2 linked regions of the Drosophila melanogaster genome follow. The protein of the gene in region 1 purifies or fractionates together with the protein of each later gene. This does not show direct contact. Each region holds a gene or a part of one and is shown in the gene's direction. Other genes may lie near its edges.

Region 1 (5,190 bases):
AAAGCAAATATATTCGTACATATATGCCAGCTAATGTGTGTGTAATTTTATTTTTATTTGTACAGCAGTGTGCGTGTTTCGTTCGAAAGTTAAATTGAATCGGTTCCGTTGGCTTTCTGGGTTTTTCTGGCCGCCTGTTCGGTTGCTTAAGAAGATTGAACGATTTTTGCACGGTTTGAGTTTTGAAAGTTCATTTGAGTTTTCTGTTTGGGGACAATTTATTTTGATGTGGTGGTGAATTTTTGTACCAGGATTTGATTTTTATAATTTTTATAGAATTTCGCTTAAATCCGAGGTGTCCTCTTTCATTAGGTTTTCAACCTCATTGGAAATGCAATTTAAATCATTTATTACGAAAACCCCTGTAGGATTAAAGAAAACTTTTTTATTGCAGGTTCCCCAAAAGTTTTTGGCAAAATCTCAGCCTTCGCAGCTCTGCATTTGCATCTTCTTTTTCAATTCTTTGTTTTTGTTGATTTCGTTTTTTGTGCATATAAATTTGTTGCCTAATCCGGCGACGTTTTCCCAGGGAGTTGCATTTAAAGCGCCATTCGCTATAAATATTCATGCAAATCGGCAGGGAGCTAAGAAAGTGCCACCCACCAACCTCTAGAGATAAACAGGTGAATCGGCAAACAGAGCAGGTGGCGCCCATCGTTCGGCCTTAATTAAATGTAAAGGCGTTGCGCTTTAAATGCAATTGCCCTGCTCGCTAAGTGGGAACTTATTTGCAATTTCATAATTGCCAGCACTAGTTCTATCTGCACGACTGGCCGCCCTTGCCGTTCCAAGAGTTTGTTGGTCCAACTTTTTCAAAAACTAATTAAAACGATAAGGGCAACCGAGTAGAGCAGCGAAATGTCGCCGCGGAGTACCCAAAAACGCGAGCATGACACTGAAAATAATTCATCTTGTGTTTAAAAACCATCTTTAGAACAGGATTCTGAACTATAAAAATGGTTATTTTTTTAAATATATACGTAAATTTTTTTCATAAATGTTCTAAAATGTTAAATGTTAAAAATACCACCATCAATCATCCCCAATTTTGTTTGTAGTGGAATGTGCCGCTGGAACTTTGACTATTCCATTGCGATGTTTATCCAAAGATCTGCCCAAATTTGCATTAGCACACGGCTTTTGTTTGTCTCCCACACGTGGAGTGAAAAGAGTGTGCCAAGGGGCGATGAAAGTCAATTTACTTGAATGCCCAGGCGGAAATTAAATAAATTCTATGAGCACACGTCAGGTGCGCCAGGCCGAAAATGACAGTTGTCAGCTGTCAAAGCAGGGCCAGAAGTACAGTTGACCACATATCCATAAGCGTCAGCTCAAGGACCTAATATCACTCAATAACAGCGATTCTCATTGCATGGTATTTACCAATGTTCCATTACACTTCATACATTTCGTTTAGAACTGGCTTCTTTCTTGCAACGGACGACAAAACCAATTGGAATTGCACCCAGTGCCTTCTCGTTCATCCCTCTGATTGATTTCCATACAGGTAATGCAGTGGCTTGGAAACATCGTTGGACACTGCTGATAAGAGGACACAATGGGATTAAAAGGGCCCAAAAGTGAAGACAACAAAGTGATGGGTTTTACGGAAATAAAGAGCTTTGAAACAAAGTCATCATACGATAGGCCATAAAGTGGTGTAATTTCGTGGAGTTAAATAAATAATAGCTAATAAATTGCGTTAAGCGTATTGGTTGCACTGCTTAAAACATAAACATTTCAGAACATTCAAAAAGTAGTTTCTTTTAGTTTTCAGATTTACCATTGAAGCCGAAAAATCTCTCGCCCTCGAACTCCCGTGAAACTCACCACAGTGATCTGCGGACTTTTCTACTCTCTTTTCCACCACGCTGGCCCAAAAGTATGCAACACAACACACATAACGATCGGGGCTTACTTCGGCTCTCACCTGCCGCGGACGCTTCAGCAACCGAAATCAGTTACGATTTGCCCGCGAAAGCGTTAACAACGTTTCAACGGATCTTCAGCGTGTGAGATAATATTACATACGTAGAAATAATATCAGGAAGGCAGCAGCAACAGCAGCAAAAACAACGCGAGTAGCCCTCTCTCTGCGCCTCTTTCGCCTGTCAACAGTTATTTTAGCCGATTGTTTTGTGTGACTTTTTCGTGTGCTGTTCGCTTTCGTTTCGTTTAGCTGTTCGGCAACTCCTTCATTTCATTAAAAATAGTAAGGCCTTGTAACAACAACAACAAGAACGACGACGTGTTTATGTGTGTGTATGTGACAGCGTTTGCATACGGAAAAGAGTAGAGAGTGCAACAATAATAACTGCAACAAAAACAGAAAACTGAAAATCAACAGCAACATTTGAAAGGGAATCGTTTCTACTTGTTTGTTTAAGCGGTAAGTCGAAAAATGAAATTTGCAGCCTTGAGACAGTTTTAGAGCCACTGAACTTGAGCGAAATGCGAGCAGAATATCAATTGATCCATTGGAATTACTACGGACAAACGTAACAAAACAACGTGCTAAACATAAATGTGCAAAAATAATTATAAAATCGCATTGAATCACTTGCCATGATTTAACCAAGTTAATAAAAGTCCATTTCATTTGCTGGTCATCGCAATTGAAAGCCATAAAAACTGTATTTTCAATAACTGAAATTAAATAAACAATTTACACACGCAAAGCGCTTTGGGGTGGGAAAGAGAGGACGATTTGGCTGCGGGAGCGAGAGGGAAGAGAAGCTGCAATCGGCCTTAACGATTACACTTAGAAAATTGTTATAATCGGATTTTCAGTTTAAATTTCAATTGATGAAACAACAAGGATTTGATGGAACAAGTCAATATTTTTTAAACTGAATCCCAATTAAGTCCATAGCTATATGTACAAGTATATCTTAAAGATACTGATAAGGGGATTATTTGCATTTGAAATAGTACACCCGCTAACAATAACTTTTTGCTCTCTGCATTAAAGCTGAATCAATAAACTAAATAAGCCAAATTAAAATGGGCTTTTATTGCGTACCGCTAAATGTGTTGCCCTGTTAACTGCTTTTGGCTGCACTAACCGTCGCACCGCCTTACATAATAATTGTTTTGATTTATATTGCCCCCTCTCACTCGCACGCTCTCGCACCATCTCTTTTGGGCGCATTGCATAAGGCCGTTGCGTTTGCAAATGCGACATGCATGCGATTTTGTCTCTTTCTTGTCGCCTATCACTTGGCGGCCTCTCTTTCTAACGCTATTCATAAATCGCTGTTAAGTTTGGCAGGTTTTACTCCCACTTCTTCTTCTTATTTACGACAGCAGACACTCCCCACCTGCAATTCACCTGAAAAAGCCCCGAAATCCCCAATCCCCAAGTGACAACTCTGGTATTCCAGCAATGCCTCAAAGCAGGTTTCTTTAATGGTTATTTTTTCTAGTCTTTTTCTCTGTTTTTGTTTAGACTTTGCTTTTATTTTAGTTTCGAGTCGCTGGTTGTTGTTGCACTAATTCACCGGTTTACTTCTTCTGATTTGCTGGTTGTGCATTTTTGTCGCGTGTATTTCTGGTTTTTTCATAGTTTTTTTCCCCCTCCTCTTTTGTGGGTTTTTCTATGGCACTTGCCACGATTAAGATCCAATCTTCGGCGTTCTGCGCTTGTCACTAGCTATGCTAATTCGATTAAATCGGTATTTAGCGATCGGGTTTTGCATTTATCGCGGCCACAGCCCGACGATTTTTGACACATTTCGCGGATAGAAAGATCTGTGCAAGATCAATGAGTATGTCAGAAATACAACCAGTTATTGAGAATTGGCCTAGAGATTGTGGAATTCGGCATAATAAGAATATTTAGTTTCAAATTGTTATTTAAATCTATTCTACGGGAGATTTCCACGAAATGAATAAGTAGGCAATTGTTTCAGCAATTCCTGGAACGTATTGAACCCCCAAACTTTGGTGCGAATAAGACTGATCGTGACAATTAAAACAGAACACTTTTATCCAGAATTTCCCTATAAAAAATGTTATTAATTAGCCAAAGCTAACTATGCGCTTTCCCAAAGAGCTCGAGTTCAATAAATCATTTGTATTTCTCACAGCAAACAGCTGATTGTGAAGGCCAAAAGTGATCGTGATTGCTATGATCGCATTTTCGAATTCGTAGCCTTGAATTCTAAATGAAATTCGAAGCAAAAATAAACAATGATAACCGTTGAGCTTCCATAGAATTTGCAAATCCTAAACCTATTTATCATATTTGGGCGAAAATGTAGTAGTGATTCATGCGGTTCCCACATCCATTCATTTGCATTTTGAATGGCATGCGAAAATCTTCACAATTGCAGCGTCTTTCCACAATGGATGTTACCTGAGTATAGTAACTGAATCTAGTACCTGAATATACAGTTTTCAGCTTTTGCAAACATATCTTATACCTTTAAGTGATTGTGTTAGCAAGCAACAATTTGCGCATTGTTTGTGCATTATTATTGTTTCTACTTAAGCTGCCGATCATCATTTTTTCTAAACGTTAATTTATAATATTCCCAAGGTCTTTGAAAAAAAAACACATTCGTCGCAGTTGAGATTCAAGATTATTATATAAAAAGACAAAGCTGCAAGTTAATATATCAAATCAAAGCTTAGAAATTTTACTTTTCGCTTTTGATAAACTTTCGAATGAAGAAGAAGATACGAAAAATAATGGTATAAATTATACAAAATATGTGCCTTATTAAATGGATGGGGCGAACAAACGAAAACGAAAGCCCCAATCCCGGTCGGAGTTTGGCTCCGAGTCTGGGATCTCCGACAGAAATGCTTTGCTTTCCTACTCCCTTTTTTTTTTATTTTGTTTGGCTGCTCGGACAAAAGACCCAAACGAGATTCAACAGCCGAAGAAACGCCTAAAACAGCAGCAGCAGCAGCAGCAACGAAACAAGTACAAAGCCAAAGATATTTCAAAAGGCCAGCACAAAGCAGCCAGCAGAGAGAAGACCAGACCCCGAGCAAACCCAAAAAACAGGTTCTAGAATCAATTTTTATTTTCTCAAGCTCAACCAAAAAATAACTACAGAAACAGAATAAAACGAAAATTCAAGTCGCAACAGGAAAGGAAGTTGAGAATTCGATTAACCGAAATTTTAATGCTCTAAAAGGGAGTAAAGGGCAATGTTTTATTTAAGGAATTCAAACCATTTA
Region 2 (4,921 bases), 7.0 Mb from region 1:
CACTTCCTGGAGAACAGAAGAAGCAGCAGCTAGTCCTGCGCCCGCTGCTTCTTTCGTTTGCGACGGGGTTTGCGCTTTTTCTTCCGCTCCTATTTGCGCGAACCCTTGCCGCCTTCGTCCTTGCCCTTGTCGGCCTTCTCCTCCGCCTTCTTGCCGTCCTTGTCCTTGGTCTCCTTGTTGTCCTTATCCTTGCTATCCTTATTCTTCTCCTTGGCCTCCTTGCTGTCGCTCTTGCCCTCCTCGGCGTCGCGGTTGGCCAGCTTGTTGTTGATCAGGTTGTGCAGGGCAATGATCGAGCGCACCATGGAGGCCAGGTAGACGACTAGCATTTGGTCGTTGGTCTTCACATACATTGTGCCCGTGAACTGGTCATTGGTTATATCGGGCAGCAGGTTGAAGATGTCCTGCAGCTGGTAGACAATCTGGTGGTTGATTGGCATCTTGCTGTCGCCGACGCGCTGCAGATACTGCTTTATGTCCCGCAGCTGGGCATTCAGGCCTTTCAGACCCATGAGCTGGTTGGTGATCTTTTGCGACAGGCTGCCCACGGTTGTGTCCTTGATGTCACGCAGCAGATGCTCCACGCCCACCTCCTCCGCCTCCTCGGCGCCAATCTCGCTGGGCACATGCTCGAAAGTTTTGCTGGTCGGAGAGCCGTCGTCATGGACTTCCTCCACCGATATGTACGCCTCTGTGGGCAGGCCCAAATCCTTGGGCTTGGCGTCGATGATGACCAGCACGGAGTTGGGACAATAGCGCCGGACCAGCTCGTTGATGGCTATGTCGTTTTGGTGGAGCTTGGGACCTGTGTGATACCATCCCACAACCCGTTCCCTGGCGTTCACCTTTTTGAACATGCCGTACATATTCTCCAGGTAGTCGTGGTCCAGGAACCACACCGACTTGTCCTTGTCATCCTCGTCGAAGGGCACTGGAAGTCGGGAGGGAATTCTTTTGTTTTATGGCCACGACTTTGGATATTCAAAGGCAGTACTAACCTGCGAAGCTGTTGGACACATCGAGCACTCCCTTGGATCGCCAGCAGCCCAGAAGGACTCCCACTACGCGCTTCTGGTTGCCAATCTTTCCCATCCGGTTGAAGTGATCCACCACGGACAGCAGAACCAATGGATGCACTATCACTTTGTTTACGCTCACCTCCTGCGACGGCATGTTTGTGCTTTTTCTGGGTTTTCGGTTCGGGGGCTTACTATGACCTCTGCGCCGATTGATAGGTACCGGACTGATTTGTTTTCGACGGGTTTGGCTTCCTGCGACTCCTGTTTTTCGCTAAATTACCTGCAATTTGCGGCAAAAAACTCAGGCCAAAATGACAAGCAGAAACGATTTACAGTGTGGCCGACGCCTCGCTTTCTGAATTTATTTCAAGGCAAGCAAAAGCATGCTTTTCTAAAAATGATTAACTGGTCACACTCGGACTCGGAATACAGCATATTAAATATAACATATTCATTATTTTCCTACACTTACATTTTAGAACAATAAAGTTGTCGTGTTCTGGAAAGTAGTGAATTGATATCGATTTTCTACAGCTGTTAAGAAAACCTAATAGTTCTATATGTTATAAAGGGAAGGGTATAGGAGGACCGGATTGCTGGTGTATAAAATCACCCATCCTTGGTATTTTTGGAGTTTTGTTGAACGGCCACACAATGCTGGTGGAAAAATCATGAGAGGAAAAGCGCCGTGCAAACAGTTAGAAAGTGCGCAATCGGACAGCGGAAGTGCGGAAAAGAACGTTTGCTGAGGCTGCACCTGCCGAAAACCAGCTGTAAAGCAAAGTAACTAAGCAGCAGCCGACTTAACTTATTATTTCCCCCTCTGCGTGTGTGTTTGCATAAGTGTGTGTTGTTTCTGTTTTTGCCCTTGGCGAAGGCAAATAGTGCTGCTCTCTTCTGGCACAGATGACCTAAACGGCCATTTTTCGCCGGCGCTGCCAGATCGCCAAACAGGGTGCAATTGCAGCTCAGTGGCAACACGAAGCGTTTGCGCGAGAGAAATTTCCAAGCATTTTCGGGGTAAAATACGCTTCAAATGGCTTAGTGTGCGGCAAAAACAGTCAAAATAGCGATAGTGCAGTGATAGATAAAGCCGAAAACCGTGAAAGTGACTGTGTACGAATGAGGTAATACCCCATTCCGTTTGCGTGCGTCCTCAAGTTTCACGCCCATTCGCCGCTATACTTGCTCCGTAATCATCAATGGGATGTTGAATTTAGTTAAAAGTGCGCGTGTTGTTTACAAATTTCACGAATTACGAGCTGAGCAGTGCGAATTGAAGGCGCCTCTACGAATTAGTCAGCTTTGGCATCCGTAAATCCCGGGTTTCGCTGCAATTTCGGCGTAAATAGGTGTTCGGGTGTCCGTCTTGAAGGGGGAGAGGGGCTTAAAAGCCCAGAGACCAGCTCACAAATACTCGCAAGCAGAGACACACGCACACACACACACGCACGCTCTTTTGTCTACGTCTTTGACTTTTTCTCGTTTGTAATCATTTCCCTCCCATTCGTACGTGTTTTTTCTACAAATATTAGAGCTCGCTAGCTGCTAATTAAATTATAAAACATACAGAACACAGAAGCGCTAAAGACGGGCCAACCAAGCCCACAATCCCCGCTTTTTGGCCTATTTCGCTGAACAAAAAAAGAGAAGGAACCGAGGAGAGAGTGCTGCAAAGAAGGTGAGTTTAGGCCACGATATCTGGGCTATGGTCTGCGTTCTAGAACGGGGCAGTTCCACCCCGGATTCCGATTCAGAATGAGATTCAGATTGAAACTTAGAGCTAGACTTGAAACCCTGCCAAGTCTGTGATATACACCTGCCCGTTCAATCAATAAACGCTTGCCAATGTCCGCAGCTTTCACCAAATCTAGTTTTCCTGCTTGGACTCTCGCCCAGGAGCTCACTATGTAGACTCAACCCAAGAAATCATCATCGTCAGCAGAAGCAGGGGAAATCTACAAGAGAGCCAACATGTCGTTTATCACCAACCTGAAGAAGGTCTTCCACCTCGGCGGGGGTGAGGCCAAGAAGAAGCGCCTGTACAACAACATCAAGATGGACACGGATCCGGCGGAGTTCTGGGAAATGGTCGGCGAACTGGGCGACGGAGCCTTTGGCAAGGTTTACAAGGCTCAGCACAAGGAGCAGAAGCGATTTGCTGCCGCAAAAATGTGTCAGCTGGAGGACGAGGAGAACCTTAGCGATCACATGGTCGAGATCGACATTCTGTCGGAGATCAAGCACCCAAATATAGTGGAGCTGTATGAGGCCTTTTCCATCGATGATAAGCTGTGGGTGAGTATATCGATGTACTTCAAGTTTTATCGGGATTATGAATCATTCCTTGAAATTCCTCTCAGATGCTCATCGAGTACTGCGACGGAGGGGCCCTGGATAGCATTATGGTGGAGCTGGAAAAGCCGCTGACTGAGCCGCAGATTGCCTATGTTTGCAAGCACATGACCGAGGGTCTCACCTTCCTGCATCGCAACAAAGTCATCCATCGTGATTTGAAGGCAGGAAACGTGCTTCTCACAATGGAAGGTGGCGTCAAGTTGGGTAAGTTATCGGTGCCCTTTTCCTAAGCCGAGACGATCTCAAAGTGAAATCAACTCATTTCAGCGGACTTTGGCGTTTCGGCCAAAAACAAGCACACCATGCAAAAGCACGACACCTTCATTGGCACTCCCTACTGGATGGCCCCGGAGCTGGTGCTTTGCGAAACTTTCCGGGACAACCCGTACGATCACAAAGTGGACATCTGGTCACTGGGCATCACGCTCATTGAGCTGGCGCAGATGGAGCCGCCCAACAGCGAGATGTCGCCCATGCGAGTGCTCTTGAAAATACAAAAGAGCGAGCCGCCCAAGCTGGAGCAGCCTTCTCGATGGAGCAAGGAGTTTAACGACTTCCTGAAGAAGTCCTTAGTCAAAGTGGGTAACCCTAAAATCTGTTATTTACATTCCATTCTAACTTTACTTTTGTATTCCTTCTGAACAGGATCCGCAGGTGAGGCCCACGACGGATGTGCTGATGCAGCACGCTTTCATCAACAGAAATCTGGATGCCAAGCCTATCAAGGATCTGCTGCTTGAGTACAAGGCCGAGGTCGTGGAAGAGGTGGTGGATGATGAGACCGAGGTGAGTGCGCCTTGGAAGCCCATGGATCCCTGTGCCCAGCACCGCACCCTTGTAGTCCAACTGCTAGATGTGATGATAATTTCTACGTTCTCTCACCTCTCCAACTGCTCTTTCTTCTCTCTTACACGCTGCCGCCTGAAAACCCAACCAAATCGCACCGCGCGATACATTATTTTATATGTTTATCTTCGTTTCTTCTCGACTATTCTTTGCCTTGCGTTTATGTTACGTTCTGTTTTGTTCCGCCAAAATGTCGCAATGTTTGTTCTTATCATTTGTATGTGGTTACTTGGAAATAATTGATATAGAAGCTTAAACGCCAAGTGAAGCGGCGCTCGCTCTATCAGAGGGTTGGTAAGTCGTTCTACAGCAAGCCGTCCGTGCTCCGTCCGTTCCTGGCACCCGCACCCCTCCCCTCCTCTGTTTCTGCATCCCAGGCACTGTCCTTCAAAAGCGGACCCACAATTAGTTTACTTATTTTATCAGCATTGCCAAATGCCGCTTATCACTTAGCTCCTCTGTCGGAGGCATACTTCGCTCGTTGTGTTTGTTATTGTACTTGGCTTCCTCCGTAAGCCCTCGCTATCGGTTTCTTGCGGTAATTATAGGCAGCACACTTTCAATCACACACGGTTTTAAGTTACTAATCAGTCTGACCAGCACATAGCTGACAAAAGTGTCAGTTTCACTATCTATAAGCTCCTTACGTTAAGACTTAGATATTGTTTATGGAGCAATAACAGATAGAATTTGCGAAC

What was found.
Region 2: the proteins of CG10939 (region 1) and Slik purify together in Drosophila melanogaster (affinity purification with western blotting, with the first as the bait; one study listed by BioGRID). This does not show direct contact.

The regions. Positions count from the first base shown.
Region 1 is NT_033778.4:17,392,638-17,397,827, forward strand, and holds the start of CG10939 (uncharacterized protein), read left to right. Parts: upstream 1-1,955; 5' UTR 1,956-2,389; intron 2,390-5,190.
Region 2 is NT_033778.4:24,399,442-24,404,362, reverse strand, and holds the start of Slik (Sterile20-like kinase), read left to right. Parts: upstream 1-1,682; 5' UTR 1,683-1,802; intron 1,803-1,978; exon of another isoform or gene 1,979-2,528; intron 2,529-2,554; 5' UTR 2,555-2,700; intron 2,701-2,877; 5' UTR 2,878-2,993; coding exon 2,994-3,317; intron 3,318-3,382; coding exon 3,383-3,581; intron 3,582-3,644; coding exon 3,645-3,955; intron 3,956-4,022; coding exon 4,023-4,163; intron 4,164-4,259; exon of another isoform or gene 4,260-4,335; intron 4,336-4,471; coding exon of another isoform or gene 4,472-4,513; intron 4,514-4,921. Other genes in the region: Rpn8 (regulatory particle non-ATPase 8), read right to left, coding at 90-931, 999-1,173.